Drosophila melanogaster: one gene and its partners. The protein of the gene in region 1 interacts with the protein of each later gene in a pairwise test. Each region holds a gene or a part of one and is shown on either strand. Other genes may lie near its edges. The genes, in order: TwdlJ, Ama, Ets97D and trn.

The links.
Region 2: the proteins of TwdlJ (region 1) and Ama interact in a two-hybrid assay, tested with the Drosophila melanogaster proteins (one large-scale study listed by BioGRID).
Region 3: the proteins of TwdlJ (region 1) and Ets97D interact in a two-hybrid assay, tested with the Drosophila melanogaster proteins (one large-scale study listed by BioGRID).
Region 4: the proteins of TwdlJ (region 1) and trn interact in a two-hybrid assay, tested with the Drosophila melanogaster proteins (one large-scale study listed by BioGRID).

The regions. Positions count from the first base shown.
Region 1 is NT_033777.3:26,628,110-26,631,335, forward strand, and holds TwdlJ (TweedleJ), read left to right. Parts: upstream 1-1,808; 5' UTR 1,809-1,846; coding exon 1,847-2,671; 3' UTR 2,672-2,716; downstream 2,717-3,226. Other genes in the region: TwdlK (TweedleK), read right to left, coding at 1-598.
Region 2 is NT_033777.3:6,760,723-6,765,802, reverse strand, and holds Ama (amalgam), read right to left. Parts: upstream 3,211-5,080; 5' UTR 2,824-3,210; coding exon 2,807-2,823; intron 2,624-2,806; exon of another isoform or gene 2,287-2,623; intron 1,971-2,286; coding exon 962-1,970; 3' UTR 542-961; downstream 1-541.
Region 3 is NT_033777.3:26,910,250-26,914,420, forward strand, and holds Ets97D (Ets at 97D), read right to left. Parts: upstream 2,638-4,171; 5' UTR 2,512-2,637; coding exon 2,448-2,511; intron 2,371-2,447; coding exon 2,256-2,370; intron 2,195-2,255; coding exon 2,125-2,194; intron 2,070-2,124; coding exon 1,355-2,069; intron 1,294-1,354; coding exon 863-1,293; coding exon of another isoform or gene 803-862; 3' UTR 526-802; downstream 1-525. Other genes in the region: T48 (transcript 48), read left to right, coding at 1-218.
Region 4 is NT_037436.4:13,112,482-13,118,585, forward strand, and holds trn (tartan), read left to right. Parts: upstream 1-1,789; 5' UTR 1,790-2,265; intron 2,266-2,707; 5' UTR 2,708-2,816; coding exon 2,817-5,030; coding exon of another isoform or gene 5,031-5,072; 3' UTR 5,073-5,596; downstream 5,597-6,104.

The DNA of each region.
Region 1 (3,226 bases):
ACTGATCGTACTGACCCTGAATGGCACTCTGGGCGTTGGCAGCATCCTCGGGAGTGCGGTACTTGACGAAGTGCACCTCGGGCTTGTTGTTGTTGTTGTTGCGGATGGAGTTCAGCTTGTTGGCCAGATCACCGATATCAGCCTGCTTGTTCAGGACATAGATGGCGGTCTCCTGCTGGGCAGCCTGCTTGGCCAGAGCCAGAGCGGCATCCTCCAGACCGCTGTTCTCGGGTCCCTTGATGAAGACCACGCGGAGTCCCTTGTTCACGGCGTTGGCAACACGGTCGGAAGCAGATGGGTCGTAGAAGTCACCCTCGTCGGCGGTGTAAGTGAAGAATTCCTTCTCGAGTTGGGCCTGAGGAGCAGCGTAGTTGGGAGCAGCAGCAGATTGAGATCCTTCCAGGGCATCAGCAATGGATGAGGGACCGGGGGCAAAGGATGCACTAGGAGCAGGCGCGAAAGCGGGTGCATCGCTGCTGGCCGATCCAGATGGCTGGAAGCTCAATCCGGAGGGAGAGTGGGCCACCGGTTGGTAATTGTAGCCAAGTTTATCGGCCGTGGCCAAGGCAATAAAGCAAAGGACGACGAAGGAACGCATGTTGACTGTTTGGATGGCAAAGATGATTGGTTACTGACTTATCGAGTCGAAATTTTGGCTTTTATAGGTGCAATATTCAGTTCTTCGGCTGCAGTATGGTGCGATATGAATTATGAACAGCTCAAATTTGCCTTAAAAATGCATAAATAAGAGATTAAAATGTTAAATTTATAATATAATTTTATGATTCGTCACACTGCTGCTGCGGTTGCAAATTTTTGCATGGCTTTGTTTTTACTGGCTCTGCGGAAAGCGGCATGCAAATTATGAGCTAACCAGAATTGGCCAGTGAGGAGGTTCATAGTCCGACTCGGATTGCCAAATCAGATGGCGCCAAGTAATTTATTAAGAGACCAATTATCGAATTATCTGATTTGGCGCTGACAAGGCGCAGTGGTGCAGTTTTTAATTGGCAACCGGCCTAGGCGATCAGAAACCATGTATATATATTAAGTAAAGATGGCTGCTATATTTAGCGATGAGTTCGATTCTTCACTTCCGGCGGATGGAAGGTCGCCTCCACCCGCAACATTAGCATAAAGCAGCTAAACACAGCGACCAAGACGACAAGACAAAGCCGCTGAATAAGGCAATAATAATTTGGCGAATCGTTAAAATATTTATTTTTGGCAGCGGTAACGCGACTAGGCGCGCCTCATTTGCATGTGAAACGGCCTGTCAAACGTTTTGTTTGCTCTCCGGCCGATTTAGGTGACACTTCTCATCCCGGGCGAACTGGGAATGGGTTTGGATTTGTGATACACATGTGATACATGAGTAACAAGGCATCCATCTAAATAGCCCCAAATGAGGTTTACGATGCTCTTGATGCTCTGTCCGCGGCTTTTTATAGCCAGATTTTATTGATTTCAACGATAAAGCTACATGAAAATACCAAAATGGCAAGGTTGGCCCACAACACTGGCCAAAAGCGGCGCCGAAGAATACGCGAATTATTGATTAAGGCAGCATATTGAATTTAATATGAATTTTATGGCGCCAGCTCCGGCTCATACATGGCCCGTACCTCTTCCTTCTGAGTTTCTACGTTGACCTCATGATGCAGCCACCCGCTTCGCTTGCATATTTTAGCGGGGTGGTACCGGTACTGCCTGATCTAGTTGGCTAAGACCGTAATTAGACCGCTTTATGCAGAGCGTTTTGCATAGCAGTGGCTTTCATCTGCATAAAAGCGAAAGAACCATCTCACACCATCATCAAATCCCACAACCACCTCACCCGCTCAACATGCGTCAGTTCTCCGTAGTTCTTTGCCTGTGCCTCGCCGTTTTGGCCAGAGCCGATAAACTCGGCTACAATTACCAACCGGTGGCCCACTCTCCCTCCGGATTGAGCTTCCAGCCATCTGGATCGGCCAGTAGCGATGCACCCGCTTTCGCGCCTGCACCCAGTGAATCCTTTGGCCCCGGTCCCTCATCCATTGCTGATGCCCTGGAAGGATCTCAATCCGCTGCTGCCCCCAACTACGCTGCTCCTCAGGCCCAACTCGAAAAGGAGTTCTTCACTTACACCGCCGACGAGGGTGACTTCTACGACCCAGCTGCCTCCGACCGTGTTGCCAACGCCGTGAACAAGGGACTCCGCGTGGTCTTCATCAAGGGACCCGAGAACCGCGGTCTGGAGGATGCCGCTCTGGCTCTGGCCAAGCAGGCTGCCCAGCAGGAGACCGCCATCTATGTCCTGAACAAGCAGGCTGACATTGGAGATCTGGCCAACAAGCTGAACTCCATCCGCAACAACAACAACAACAAGCCCGAGGTGCACTTCGTCAAGTACCGCACTCCCGAGGATGCTGCCAACGCCCAGAGTGCAATTCAGGGTCAGTACGATCAGTTGGGAGGATCTTCGCAAGCTCAAGATGGTGGAGTGGCATCCACCCTGAACTTCGCTTCCCAGCCCGCTCCTGTTCAGGCTGCCAGCAGCCAAGCGCCCGCCCAGTTCCTGCCCGCCTCCCAGCCCGAGGCTACTGCACCCATCTCCTCGTATGTGCCACCTGCCACCCCAGGTAGCTCCTACTTGCCCGCCAACATCCTGCGCCGCCTGCGTTTCTAAGTTCCTGGCATTTCCTTTGTTATTGTTGAGATTATAATACGAAATAAATTTGTTTAATAATATAAATTTTTAAGTTGTTGTTACTCTTTTTGAGAGCTATTGATATAAATGGTATAATCAGCTATTTTGAGGATTAAAAATACGTAATAAGATAGTCTGGATGCTCCTGAAATTCCCGACATTCTTGTGCTATTGTTTAGATTTGAAGACCTAATAAAATTGTTTTAAAATGTAAATTATTAGGTTGGCTTGCGGATCTTCGCGGCCAACATTCCTAGGCATATTATCAGCCAGAATTAAATTTCCGAGGCACAACATTTTCGCACTCGGCGGCTGGCAAACAAGTTCGACTTGCGTTGAATTATGAGTCCGTCCGGCTAAGCTGTTTGTGAAAATTGCAAATGAGCGGAAACCTAAGATGTTTTCTCTGGCATCGCTTTGAATAATCTGCTTCGTGTTAATCTGTATAATCTGGTGTATAACATATGGCTTATCGGCTACTTGGCTGCCCATGCCTACCTACGCACTTCGCGGTTCGAAATTGAGATGGCACTC
Region 2 (5,080 bases), about 20 Mb from region 1:
TCTCAATTACAATGAACAACTTACATTCGGGTTCACTTTTCGCCACACAACCCACTCCGCATTTTGACCATGTGAGTGTTTACGTCAAGAGGTGAACAACTGACTGCCATTTTTTAACCATGATTGAAGAGTTAAACGCTGTGGCACTTTGAGCGGGCTCGGTTAACTTTTTGGCAAATGACTTCGGCAGCGTTAACCGTTGGAATACCAGCTCAGAATGGAGGTTACATGCTGTTTTTGGTGTCAAGGTGGGACCTTGCGGACTCAGATGGCAGCTTTAAGGAAGAAGATCTTGAAAGATCTGTTATTTAGGGTTTGGAAAGTGGCATCCAAAAAAGTTAATGGATTTTTAAAAGATTTGGATGTTCTAGCCATCATTCTAACGAAACTGTGGCTTTTAAAGTGTAAAGTTTGAATTGTTTATTGTTATAAATTAATAAGATCCATGGAGCATTGGGTGTTGTTTAGAAGTGATTAATTTTTCATTTATATCTGCACTTACCATATATTTTTAGATTCCCTCTCGATAAAACAATGAAATACTTTTGACAATGCCTTGTCTCCTGGCTTAGTTTTATTGAATGACAAACCCTTTAATTCGTTGCTTCAAGAGGTGTTTATTCTCTCATGGTATTTAACTTACACCGTATACAAGCCAACCCAACCACATAGGAAAAGACCGATTAAACTTTATCAGAGAACGTTATTTACTTAAGCATATTAATGTGTGTTTGCACAAGCCGACGGATGCAGAGCAAAATTCATAAGGCACAAGCGGTGGCTCGATCTCAAGTGTGTCCGAAAATAATGAAGTCTGAATGGGAGCTAATTGAATGAATCATTAATAATATAAACACAGACCGCATCCGGACTGGCGAATTGCCGAAAAAGCGAGACGAGAGGAGAAAGTGAGGGTTCCAGTCTTGTTGCGTGGGAATGGAAATCAGACGTTGAGGGCTTATTACGACAAGGAGGGCACTGGGATGACGGTCTGGAAGAGATGCAGTCGCGCATCGGCGTGTCCCAGCTTATTGGTGGCATTGCAGTAGTAGTCCCCAAAGTCCTCCTCGCCCACGCTATCGATGCGCAGCACAGAGGTTGTGGTTCCCGAGGAGGAGGCGGTGTTGGCCACCTCGTGGTGCCGGCTAGACTGCAGGGGCACGCCATTCTTGTGCCAAACTACAGTCGGAGCCGGGTAGCCCTGCACGGAGCACTCCAGCTCCGCGGAATGGGACACCATTTGGGCGATCTTGGGCCTCTGGACGGCAATCTGCGGACGGAACTCCACTTCGACCCGGATCAACCTCTTGTCCGGCTGGCCCTCTCCGTTCTGCGCGATGCAGTAGTAGCCGCCGCGATCCATCCGGTGCACGGAACGAATCCGGAGAGTTGGTTCGGCCAGCAAATGGCCACCGGCAGGCATCACTGCATTATGCTCGCGGGCCCAGGAGATCGTAGGCTTGGGAAAGCCATTGGCATGGCAGGTCAGCTCCAGATTCTGTCCCTCTGTCACCAGGGTGCTCTTGGGGGTGTTCTCCGCAATCACCGGCGGGGTCTTGATCTGCAGGCTCAGCTTCTTGGTCACCTTCTCCGTGGCCGAAACAAGCACCTGACACTCGTACGGACCCATGTCACTGACTTCGATGTTCTGAATGCGGAAGGTGTAAATGGCACTTCCGGTCTTGGGTCCTTCGGTGACCGTTACGTTGTACCGCTGGTCGGGCAGACTGAGGATATTCCGCATGGAGAGCACCACCGAGTTGGTGTCCGACTCGCTGGGACGCTTGGCCCAGCTCACCGAGAGCTGTCCCACCTCCTCCACGGTGCAGTTGAACTCCACAGAGTCGCCCACACTGGCCACCACGTCCTTGCTGATCTGGCTGATCACTGGGGCACTAAGCACCGAATCCAAGCTGATCGCAAGGCAGAATATAAGACCGATTAGAAGCCGCAGACGCGCCATGTCTGGTCTGTAAGAAATCAAAATAGATTTGAGATTTATTAGTGTATCACTTTATGTTGAGTCTTTTGATCGCGTTAGCCATTCTAAATATTTCGTATGTAATGGAGAACTGCCATTTTTAACCCATCTTCGAATTCAATATAATAAACTAAAACTAGGTTCAATTATAGAATAATAATTTAAAGGTCACAAGTATATCTTTAAAAGTATCTTTCAAAAGTAAATAAGAAGGAAAGAATTCTGCACACACACTCGTTTTGAAACATTTATAAGGCTTGTACACACTTTTCAGCTTTATCGTCTTATTTTAATATAATTCATACATTTCTGTTTATTTACAGGATGTTGCTGTTGATTTTGTGACTCTTTTTCCTCGACTATCTCTCAGTTCAATGTGGGTTCAATGCGCTTCACTTCGCGTTCGGGACTCGACTGAATTGAAAGAGGCGACCGAGCTCGGCTCAAAAATCCGTATCTCTGCTGAGGTTCTGAGAATCGGGTTCTTATTTTTGTATTCTTCCTGACGCGCCGACGTCGATGGCTCGGTTTCTCAAGGAAAGTCCCGAAATTTGTACACCGCGAGAATGAAGCAGATAGACACCATTATGATTGATTACCGCGGCTGTGTCTAGACAACGTTGCTTCTTAATGGATACACTGGTAAAAACGGAGATAACTTAGTTTTCCGATATATCAATACTTATTTTTTTTTTTAATGAATAGCCAGGTAAACGAAATCAATTTGATTTAAAATTAATTTTTTTGTAGTTAAGGATGTGAAAAAAGATTTTAAATGGCAGTGTTTAGTAAATAGTTTAAAATTTAGTAAAAAAAATAGTTTACCTTTTATTATATTGCATATTTTTTAATAATTAGTAACAGCTTTTTTCAGTGTATTTGCCGATGAAGAAGTCATCGACGTTTTGGATCTTATCACCCCTCGGTTATGTACATTGTCGCCTTCACAGTATTTGTATCTGTGTTTGTTCAGTATCTCTATCTGTATTTTGTATCTGTGTTTGCATTTTAGTTCGTATTTAAATTGTTTACTTGTGCGTGAGTTTGACTTCGGGCTCAGTTATCAATGCACTTTCCTTCTGGTCTTTAATTGATTTGTTTTGCTGCTCGCTGCTGTTGTTTATGCCTCTGCCTGTGGCCCTCCTGCCCCGCCCACTTGACAGCCCCCGCCCCAAGATAAGCGGTCAGTTGCAAAAACAAAGCGCCAGCGAAAGCGGCCGCAGGCGAACTGAGAGACCGCGTGCGAAATTCAAATTCAAATTCGTGCCGCCATTTGGCCATAAACGTTTCGGGGTTCGTGGAAGGACAATAAAAGGAGCAGCGGCGGGGTGGGAAAGTTGGAACTCTACCCATTTGTGTGATTTATGGCATGGCGCACTACTTTCCGCTGGCGGCTAACAACAACAGCAACGATTACGAGCGGTCCCTGGAATATCCTAGCCGCTCTGGAAATGCCAGCGATCCCAGCGCCGTCTCATTAGTGCTGTCTCTTTTGCGCCGGAGCAGGGGCGCATGCGCGAAAAGGCAAAAACAACGGGGTGGTGTACAAGGCATTGGGTGGAACTTGAATCGAGTCCTGGTTCAGCCATGCTGGGAAATTCTGAAGGATATTTAAAGAGCAGTATTCGGGAAATTTGGGTACCTTTAACTTGGCTGTTCGTAGAAATTTCTTTACACGGCTGAAGGTTAATATGTGTACTCACAGCATACGAGGATAGGAAACGTCGAAATATAACATAGTCTATATTGATTATATTTGTGTATATATATTGATGTGTTTAATATGTGTCTGGATCTCGATCAATTAGTTCCTATGGCAGATGATTTAAGGATTAAATGTGGTCAAAGGCCGTTTGATGTGCAAAATTTCACTTGTTGTATAAGCACCGAACCATTCGAAAACTTTCTGCTGCCCAAACGCATTTAATTTTCATATTTCCAGCCTGATTCCTGATCAGCCCCGGGCCAAGTTTCCCCCTAAAACCCATCGAGGTTAACCCGGCTTTACTCTGCGAGATGATTGATGACGACGCTGTCTGTCTGGCGAAGAAATTCCCCCGAAGAGCGACGAAACTATGGCCACAGTTTCTGGAAAATTAAATCACATCTTAAATCGTTTCGGTGACTTCTGCTGAAATGAGGCCGTTCCCATGGGAGGACAACTGCATCTGTCGTCCGAACTTGGACCCCCGCACTCTCACTCGTACTGCCCATCTGCCGGAATCCTCGTCGCTGAGTGCACATTCGAATCAGATAATTGTAAATTGTGTAAAATAATAAATTTCCAGTTAACTATCAACGGACCGCATAGGGCGCTTCTATTCCGTCCCTTTCTCGCTGCCCACTGACGGCTCTCCTTGTCCTCAGCTGCATCCCGGCAGCGTCATTATGACCATTGCGGCGATGCCTCTTGGATGCAGGTTCAGGTCCTGGTCCAGGTCCTGGCAGGTCCGGCTGCTTCATGCAACGCTCGACTTGGCCCGACCGAACTGGACACACACCGAAACCGAACGAAAGAGACGGCTAGACGGCGTGCGACAGAGAGGGCTGCCGCTCGCATTCAGGCGCAAGCGGATCCAAAACAGAAAATGTCAAATTTTGTAATTTATTACCCGAATCCTGTTTCTGTCAGTGACTCTTTGGGTGTTTCGCTTCAGCAGCGGCACACACGGGGGCATTCAGCATTCAGGGTCGCCGAGCGGGGAAGGGAGAAGTCCTTTGTCACACACTGCGTCTGAATTTGTGGCCCAGTTCCGCACAGTGGTATCTAGCAGATACTTTTTGTAATATTTGTAAGAATGCACAGAACTTCGTTACATTCAGAGATTTCTAGTTTCTAGTCAGATGACTAAATACAATATTATGTGTCAAAGTAATTAATTTTGTTTTTGAATAAATTTCTAAAATATCAGCTTGCCTTTAACGTAAATATAGCCTTTTCTACCTATCTTTATCTGATATAAAAAAGTAGCATTTGAAATGCTGTTGTTGCAATGGTATCGAATTGGTATTAAAGCTCTGGCCCTGTTTAATTTGTATTTGTAGTCAGAGCAACCACTGTACCTTTGTGTGTATCCTTGGGCTTTGCCTATGCGAACG
Region 3 (4,171 bases), 280 kb from region 1:
GCAGTGCCTCGGCGCAGCAGAAGCTACACCTGTTTGGCTCGCTGATCAGCCTGCACGAGTTCGAGGAGCCGCGGGCTTCGGATCCTTTCGGCAGCAGTTTCAACACGCTGAAGAGCGGCAATCTCATCTCTGATCTCAACGCCAGCTCGCTGTGGCTGGAGGACGAGTTCTACAAGCTGGGCTTTCGACCGCAGGACGAGATCACCACGGAGCTGTAACCGCATCACAAAACTCATACTCAAAACTTAATGCAAACTAAGTATTACCCCGGCTGGCGGCGCTAGCCGTTCGAGTCTAGCGCCAGTTCAGCTGGGGGAATGGAGCATTTGCGTGCACATTCCGACAGGCCATCATCGACTTCGACAAGCTAACTGGGAGGCCGTTTAGCCGGAGCCGCTAAATGCCCACGCTTAGAGCTTAGTTAGATCAGTTAAGCAAGCAAACTAGTCACGTAAAATCACAAACAAAACCATCAACACACAACGATGCCGAGGAGAAGGAGCTAATGCAAATGCAAATGGAAATCGCGTGGAAATGAATTTAGTTTTATGGATTTTACAAAAATCGCAACAATCATGTAACGAACAATATTCAATATACACACTATAGAAATACTATTCAGATAATAACTAAGATGATTAGCAGTATAAACGCGATACTTATAGCTATAGCTTATGTAGACAGAGATTATAAACCTTAGCGAATACGAAATGGATAATAAAATCGTGTGCCTTAGGATTGTAAAATATGTAACAATTTGTATTATTAACCAGGCGCCGTCATCCGACCAAGTCAGCCAACGCTAAGGCTCCTCGTACTTCCAGAGTATGTCGGGTTCCTCCTTGAGCTTCAGCTCGCCATGTCACGTGTCTTCTGTAATTGTTTCCGTTGCGGCTACGCGCTCGGGCGCCGTTTTCCCCTCGCTGACCAGCGTGGATAGCTCATTCGCATCATAGCCGATCAATAGCTTCAAATCGCAGTCAAATTTGTATGCGAATCGCTTGCCGGACACCTTGGAGATCATATCCCCATCGTAATAGTAGCGGAGAGCCCTTGATAGCTTTTCGTAGTTCATAGCGGGTTTGTTTTTCTTCTCGCCCCAAAGGCGTGCCACTCGATCCGGGTCAGTGAGCTTAAATTCTCCCTCGGTGCCCACCCACTCAATAACGTCCGTGTGCTCGCAGTCGGTGAGTATTTCGAGTAGGAACTGCCATAGCTGCACTTGTCCATTATTCCCGGAACCGATGGTAGTGTAGTTTGATGGATTCATGGATGACGTAGTACTTTCAACGGCTGTGAACGAAGTAGATATTGTTAGCTCATGCTTTGGTGTAACATTCACACGTCTACTTACAATCAGAGCTCTTGACTGACTGATAGGATTTCCGCATAATCCGCTGTTCAAGCGAAAGGCTGCCCCCTGAATTGGTCGATATGGAATTGGCCGACATGATTCTTGGTTGCTTGGGCTTACGCTGCTCCTCCGCTCGTTTGTGCACTACGGACACGAAATTACATTCTTTTAGCAGCTGGAGGTGGGTCCAGAAGATGTTGCCTGGATCACGGGGCAGCTTCTGATTGAATTCCTCGTGCGTCATTGCGCAGAGTTCCTGGCCATTCATTTGCCAGTCGCTCATGTTGATGCCAACTAGTTCGAACTGCTTGACGGCCCACTCCAGCCAGTACGTCACGTGTGCGTGTGTCCATTCGTTGGCCGCCTCGGGTATCTTCAGGCGTATTTGTTCTCGCTTAAACTTGCTGTCCAGGACCCAATTCAAGACTGGCTTGACATCCTTGCCCTCGACGGATTCCTCTTCGGAGTCTTCCTTGTGCATGCGCTTGAGTGGGGTTTTGATGGGGCTTTCGCTGGAGGAACTCTTCTGGCTGGCCGTTTCCGGCGGCGAGAGCTGGCCCACCACCTCCTCGGCCAAGGCAGCCAGTGCGGCCTCCGTGGGCTTCAGGACGTCGGCGATGTTAATGCGCTTGCGAATAGTTTGTATCTGCACGTTGATCTGGACCAGGCCTTCTCCCTTGACGCATTGGTCCACGAGATTCTTGTGCGATTCCAGCTGCAGGAGAGTGGGGGCTTAGGTAAACATTTTATTACGCCGCAGATAGACTCACCTCCTGCGCGTCCTGCAGCCAAAACGTGTAGTAATTCAGGCACACTCCTATCTTTTGCTCAACAAGTGATCTGTGGGTAGAAATGAGGGTTATTTGCATGACTAATGGGGGCCAGTCTTCGCCAGACTCACTTGAGCATGCTGAGCGGCTCCCGGATGTCCATGTGCACGATGATGATGTCGTCCGGCTCCGCCTCCGTCTCCACATCGATGCTATCCTCGAACATTTCGCTGGCAATCACTTCTTCTGCAAATTGTTTACAATTAATAATTCGGTGTAACAACAGGTGCGTCCCAATTGGGAAATGGCATCATTCCACTTACCCAGGGCACCGCCAACGCTGAGGCGGCGTATTAGCTCGTCCGACAAGTCATTGCTGCTGTTCATCGCGGCTTAAAATCGCAAATAACTGCCTATATTAACAAAATGTTTTTAACAAATTTGTCTCGTGGATTTATTGTTGCATCTTCAGTGTGACCGTGTACGTCGGGTGTGGCAATACCGAATAATACTAAGTGGCGTTGGTACAGGGCTGCATAGTCACTGGCCAGTATTGCCACCAATTCTATCAGATTTCAAAACTCTGGCGGTTCTTTTAAAAGTGATAAAAGTTTCGAAAAAATGTAAATATGAATGTAAGTTAGCAAGTCTGAAATACAATATTTGCTTTAATGATGAAAAAACTTAATAGCATCATATATATTTAAAGAAAAACATCAATTGTTATTTAGTTTTAAAAGAATACATGATTTTGTTATAGTTTTTACTGGCAAATATTTTGCCAGTTTTGAACTATTTTCAAGTTCCCTTTTCCTGTGTGGAAATTCATTGATCAAAAATTTCTTTCATCACCAGCTATTAATATTTTGAGCCTAACGATCTATAAAAATTAGCAATCTGGTGACAAAATGTGTGCTCGCCCCCTCAAGTGATTTCCTAGAAATGCCATCGAAATTAATTGAGGAATTCAATTCGCAACAACAAGTCGATGCTTAAGACACCCACTTGTGGTTGAGTGGTTTGCTCTTCATGCGATATCTTTTCGCCACTTTCTTTCGCTGCAAGACTCAATTGGCCGACACAATTGGCCATGTTTGTGCGTCGGCCTGACTAGGAAGCACTTGGGTGTTCCCACAGGCAAGTGAAGTGGCCAAGTGCTGCTCATTTTCAGCTAATGCTGATTAAATGCCCCGTAACACGATCAGTGGGTCAAAACGGCGGGACAATGAATGCCAATTGTGCTATGGAGCAGAGGACAGCCTCAAGTGCACAGAGTACTTGTTAACACAAGCGTTTTTCCATGTACCATGTACCGAGATATGGACAAAGACGGCTCCCGGCCTGAATAGTCCGGAGTTGGGAGCATTACCTCATGCTGTTGACTCAGTTGGCATAGTAGATGAACGATATTTGCTTGCGAATATCTTGCTGATGACAATGTTTGATTTTGATTTCGGTATTAGCTATAAGTGATTCAATGTCTGCCACGAATGTTCTGGCACATCATCATCCCCATATTGTGCAACCTTGCAACTTCATTTTCCCCTTTCCGTTTCGTGTCCGAAAACGAGGGAAACTAACAAGCCAGAGTGCGGATTTTGTTTTATTTGGGGACTAACTCTGCTTTGTTTACTTGCCAAGCTGTTGACTAATATTAGCCAGCTGGTCAAATTCAGGCGCTTCAGGTCAGTTTTTTTTTTGGTTTCATTTTGCGTACTTTCCAGCCATTTGAAGTTGAGTCATTGTCAAAGTCGTCTCATTTGGATATTATTAGATGTGAGTGGTAGTGAAATTTCTATCTTTCTTTCTCACCACACAAACCCTTATTACTCATTATATGCTAATGAGGACTTATCTCATTGCACGTTAAGTATACGCCGCATTGACCTTCTGGCAGATAGAAATCTATGCAGACCGAAAATTGTCTAGGTCATGACACCCAGCTGCAATGGGGCAACAAACAGATGAACGAAACCAGCCCAATGACAACGTGGAAAACTCACTCAAAACCGTTAGCGTACATAAAACTATGCGCAGTCATTGTGGC
Region 4 (6,104 bases), on another chromosome or scaffold:
TGTGCAGCAATCACTGTGTGTTTCGTATCTGGTTTTTGAAAGGAAACTACGCAGTCTTTACCTATGTAGAGCACTTTGGCAGTTTACAAGCCAAAGATACTTTTCTTACAAGCCGCTGTTATGGCAATTTGTTTGCATTTCCTGCATTTGTATTCAAGTTTATTATTATACTTCGCCAAAGCCTTTCTCTAAGAAGTCAGCAAAACTGTTTAATTTCTTGAAACAGATCTTTAAAGGCCTGCAATTTTATGAATGTTTCATCAAAGAGCAAATGTAAGGTTTTAGTATGAGAACCAATAGTTGGTTTATTATTCAAAATAGGTTGTGTACCCCATTTAATAATGTAGAAATTGAACCAACAATTTAATTTAGATTTCAGTTCAGCAAAAGAGTAGAAACGAAAAAAATGTTTGCCAACAAAGTTAGGCAAATCAAATTTTTTTACTTTAAATAAATTGTAAAGACGAGTTTTGAAATACATGTTTAAAGGCTAAATTTATCTCTCTTGGCAACGAAAATTTTCCAAAACTACTTCTGTCATAAATTATGTATATGTATTTATTTTCTCTCAAAGGCAACAAATCAAATTCATAAAATCCTATGGTCAAGCAACTATTAACAGTTGCCTTGGCTTTCAATACGCAAAGATGCCTCAAATTTGGGTAATATGGTATAAATTTAACAAGTTTACTTATTGGTTAGTTTATGAAAGATACAGAAAAGCAGTCGAAAAAGATTTGCATCTCGGTACGATAAATAAATTTTGTGTGCGAAATTCTCGGAGACGGAAATATGCCAGTTATGTCGGTGGGGCAGGGGGGCTTGGCTGTGGAAAATGTGGAGGAAAACCGCATGCCGTAAGGCCCGGAAAATGTGCCCCACCCCGGTCCCCTCTGATCCAGCAACATATGTTGGCACAAAGTTATGGCCATTTAAAGTTGATTTTCTTGTTGTCACAGTTGTTTTTTTCCCGTTCTTTTTTTTGTGATTTTGCCGAGTTGTAAATAGTTGTTTGCTCTGCATGCCAAGAATGAGAAATGCATCTCAAATGTATCAGATGACACAATATTTTTTGAGAAATACTCGAGTGCAACACTTTCGTGTCCTCGAGATACAAACTCGCAGATACAAAAATATCAATTTCAAGTGCGTCACATTTGGACTGTAAACCGCACTAAAAGGCTCCACTTAGGCCAGGACATGTCTGCGGCCCATAAATATCCATCTAGCTCCTATTCTGCGTAGGACTATGTACTTTTTATGGGGTCTTAATTATGCCACAGCACTTGGGCTGTTTTAGTTTTCTCTTCAGTTTTGTTTTTTTTTTACTTTTTTCGTTGACTATTTCAGTTCTAGTTTTAGGTTTTATGGGCGACAGCATTTCGTCGAGGACGTGCGGCTCGTTCAACGTGTGAGTTGCAATTGTCGGAGAGCGAGCCTGGATATATGGGGCACGTATAGCCAGATAAATGAGTGGAAACTTCGAGTGAAACTCGCCACACTGAGTTCTCCATCGAGAGAGACAACTAGAGATACATTTGTATCCGACACTCACAACCAGTTCCGACTACCTGCTGGCGGGTTTATCTGAGAGAACTCGCCTTCGCAAGGCCGTCTCGCCTCAGCCACGCCGCTCTTTTTACCCATGTCCGATGCAGCTGCCAGCCACCACCACCACCACCACCATCTCATACCGCTCAAACGGCTCTGTTACCGCTCTGTACCGCTCAACCACCCCGGCAAAAGTGGCCAGCCGAGGTATCGTTTGTGCAGCAGGCACTTCGTAAAATCAGTGTAGTTCGTTGCCTCGTCGTGAGCGGTTGTCTGCCAGCTATAGAGACCCAATTGCGACCAAGTTCCTCTCTCTTACCAGAGTTGGTAACACGAAATACGTAAATTCAAACGGAAACCCGTCGAACGCCTAACAACAACTTGAAGCGTGCAGTCAAAGCGAACCATTGGATTATCGCGCACGTTTCACAAACAATCAGCAAACAAAAAAAAAAAAAACGAAACAAGCAATACAACAAACCAAAATTTTAATTTTGAACAACACACATGTTTTAGTTGAGCAAATGTGACAAAACAAAAAATTGGCTATTCAAAATATTTTTCCAAAAGTGAAACAGTGAAAACGCAAACACATCACAAAATACAAACAAAAACCGAAACACTGCATTTTGCATTTTATGTTCTGTTCACCAACGATTTAATCTGCTGAAAACTAAAAATTGTTGCCAAGCAATCATCAAAGAAAAACATTAGGTAAGTTTCACTTGTGGCATACAATGTGCATTTTATAAAAGTGCTGAAAAAGTGGAATATTGTGGAAATTAGAATACCGGAAGAAAAGTTTCAACAAAATAAAGTTAGGCTGCCAGAAAATATAAAATACGAAAAATATAATTGGAACATTTTAATTTTGTTCAGTTAAATTACTGACTTTAAATATTTATTGAGTTTGAAATTTCTAAAATGAGAATTTATTAGGACCGAAACATTAGCAACTTAATATAGATTTTTCCAACACCAAATCTAAAAATATATCCAATATGAAATACTTGTGAAAACATAAAAATGTTTGCTTCAAGAACCCTGTAAATTTTAATCAATAGAAATAGTTCCACGAAAATAGGCTAATTAACCGAACTCACAGAAAAGACAGAAACTAATTTTGAAAATTTTTCCCTCGTTTGTCTACCCGCAGCACTATGGAAAACTGAAAAAATCAACAGAAACTCTGAAAGAATTGAAACAGCAGCACAGAGCGAAGCAAACCGAAAGACAGAAATCAAAAGAGAATCAGAGATCCCAAGATGCAGCGAAACATGATGATCGCCTTCGTGGGCATCTGGTGCATTTTGGCCAGCATTGGTGTGGAGCCTGCGGCGGGCTTGGCCAATTGCCCGCCCGGCTGTCAGTGCGATGATAATACCCTGGTGGTACAATGTGGCGAGGGCCAGCTGGACGTGCTGCCCATTGCTCTGAATCCATCCATCCAGCGACTGGTGATTAAGAGCAACAAGATCAAGACCATCGACTCGTCCATCCAGTTCTACGCGGAGCTGACCTTCCTCGATCTGTCCTCGAATCACCTGATGACCATTCCGCAGCGCACCTTCGCCTATCAGAAGAAGCTGCAGGAGGTGCATCTGAATCACAACAAGATTGGGCAGATCAGCAATAAGACCTTCATTGGTCTGTCGGCAGTTACTGTTCTGAATCTGCGTGGTAACCAAATCTCGGAACTTCACCAGGGCACCTTTACTCCTCTCCTGAAGATCGAGGAGCTGAATCTGGGCGAGAATCGCATCGGCTATCTGGATCCCAAGGCTTTCGATGGACTCTCCCAGTTGCGCATCCTTTATCTGGATGATAATGCCTTGACCACCGTTCCCGATCCCGTGATCTTCCAAGCCATGCCCAGTCTGGCTGAGCTGTTCCTTGGAATGAACACCCTGCAGAGCATTCAGGCTGATGCCTTCCAGGACCTGAAAGGACTTACTCGCCTGGAACTCAAGGGTGCCAGTCTACGCAACATCTCCCACGACAGCTTCCTCGGCTTGCAGGAGTTGCGCATTCTTGATCTTTCCGATAATCGTCTGGATCGCATTCCCTCCGTGGGTCTCAGCAAGCTGGTTCGTCTGGAGCAGCTGTCCCTGGGTCAAAACGATTTCGAGGTGATCAGCGAAGGCGCATTCATGGGCCTGAAGCAACTTAAACGCCTGGAGGTGAATGGAGCTCTTAGGCTGAAGCGTGTGATGACCGGAGCCTTCAGCGACAATGGTAACCTGGAGTATCTGAATCTATCGTCCAACAAAATGCTTTTGGAGGTTCAAGAAGGTGCCCTCAGTGGGCTGTCCCAATTGAAGCATGTTGTTCTCAAGGCCAATGCGCTGACTTCCTTGGCAGAAGGTCTGTTCCCGTGGAAGGATCTTCAGACTCTGGACCTTTCCGAAAATCCCTTGTCCTGCGACTGCCGTGTGATGTGGCTGCACAATCTGCTGGTGGCCAAGAATGCCAGTCAGGATGATGTCTCCGAACTGCTGTGTGAGTTCCCCGAACGTCTGCGCGGTGAATCCTTGCGCCATTTGAATCCTGCTATGATGGGATGCACACATGCCGATCCTCGCAAGCAGGCCTTGATTGGAGCTCTCCTGGTGGGATCTGCTGCCACGATTACCGCCTTGGCTTTGGTTCTGTACCGCTGCCGTCATAAGATCCGCGAAACCATCAAGGGCGGTCTGTGGGGTAACTCGGCTCTGGGCCGTAAGGAACGGGAATACCAGAAGACCTTCTGCGACGAGGACTACATGTCGCGCCATCAGCATCATCCCTGCTCCCTGGGCATCCACTCCACGTTCCCCAACACCTATACCGCACCTCATCATCCCGGAGCTACCCATCACTATGGAATGTGCCCGATGCCTGTCAATGACCTGGGCGCCATCGATCCCCAGCAGAAGTTCCAACAGTTGGTAGTGCCCACCGCCACAATGATCAGTGAGAAGAAGCTGAATAACAACAAGGCCCTGGTTTCACAGGGAGCCATCGACGACAGTGCCTCATTTGTGCTGCACATGAAGTCGGCCACCATGGGTCGGGATGTGCATCAGCAGAATCCCCAGCTGAACCACTATACCAAGCCGCAGTTCCTCTCGGCCACGGCTACAGTTGGTGATTCCTGCTACTCATACGCGGATGTGCCCATGGTGCATGGCGCCCCGTTGGGTGGACCGAATCAGCCGCAACTGCGACTGACCCAAGAGCACTTCAAGCAGCGTGAGCTATACGATCAGGAGATGGGCAGCGAGATCCTGGACCACAACTACATCTACAGCAATACCCACTACTCGATGCCGTTGGAGCAACTGGGTCGCAGCAAGACGCCCACGCCGCCACCGATGCCACCAGCTTTGCCCCTGCGGAATGGACTGTGTGCCACCACAGGACGCAGATCCTTCCAGCAGAAGTCCGCCTCTCAGAAGCAGCAGCAGAACAACAACACCCTGCGTCAGTTCACGCACTGATCCTCGACCTATCGACGCAGGCAGCTGAGCATCTATGCTTAGTAGTCCGCTGCCCAACACTGTGATGCCAAAACCCCCAAGAAGCCCACTAAAACCACTCACTCCCCTCCAGACACAATTAGCGTGTAGTTAGGCGTAAGGAAAACATTGTAGTAGCTGTAATCGAAATACAACCTAGGCATTAAGTCAGAGAAAATCTTGCCTTGTACATACTTAACTTTAAAGCACTCTTTCGAACCTATAGAACACTGAAGGATCTCCAATTCTATCAGCACTTTGCCAACACTACTGTTTTCCTCGTCCCCCTCCGAACATAAGTTAATCGTAGTCTTTAAGATGAATTGTAAATGATATACGAGTTTAGATAAAGACAACAAGCACTGAGAGTCAACGTAAGCTTAATTTTAACTTATTTAATTTATTGTTAAATGCAAAATCGTATCAGATGCAAACAACTATTTATGTATTAGTTAGAACAAGAAATTTATGCAAATTTAAGCGACAAAACAAAATATCAAACGAAAACAGAAAATATACGCAATGAAAACAAAACTCATTTGAAAACTAAAAAATACAACTGTGTGTGTTCATTCTGCTCTTAATTTAGCAGATTTTCCTTTCAGCCAGCATACTGCCGTGGAAATTTGCCTTTAATTATACATTTTCCCTGTGCACCGGCAACTTTTCCTCTGTGTCAATTTGTCTCGACATTTTCACTTTTTTTTCCACGAGCTCAAAACTTTTGACTTTCAATTCAATTAAAAGTAAGTTGAGGGCTTGCATACCGTGCTCGGGGGAATAAAAAATGCAGTAAAATTAATATACTATTATTCAATAGTAACAAGCTTGAAAACTTTTGCAGACCCGACTCAAGCAGAGCGTGGCAAGTGGGGAAGAGGTATAATTTTCAATTCAATGTGCATGGAAACACATGTGTAACTACTACCATATACAAATATATATGTATAAGTGTATATATGGGTACAGCCACCCCTTCATTGTCACCTGCAATGCAGCTGCCACCTGGCGGACCAGAAAGTTGCCAACTCACCGTCGAAGTTTGCCCCTGGGAAC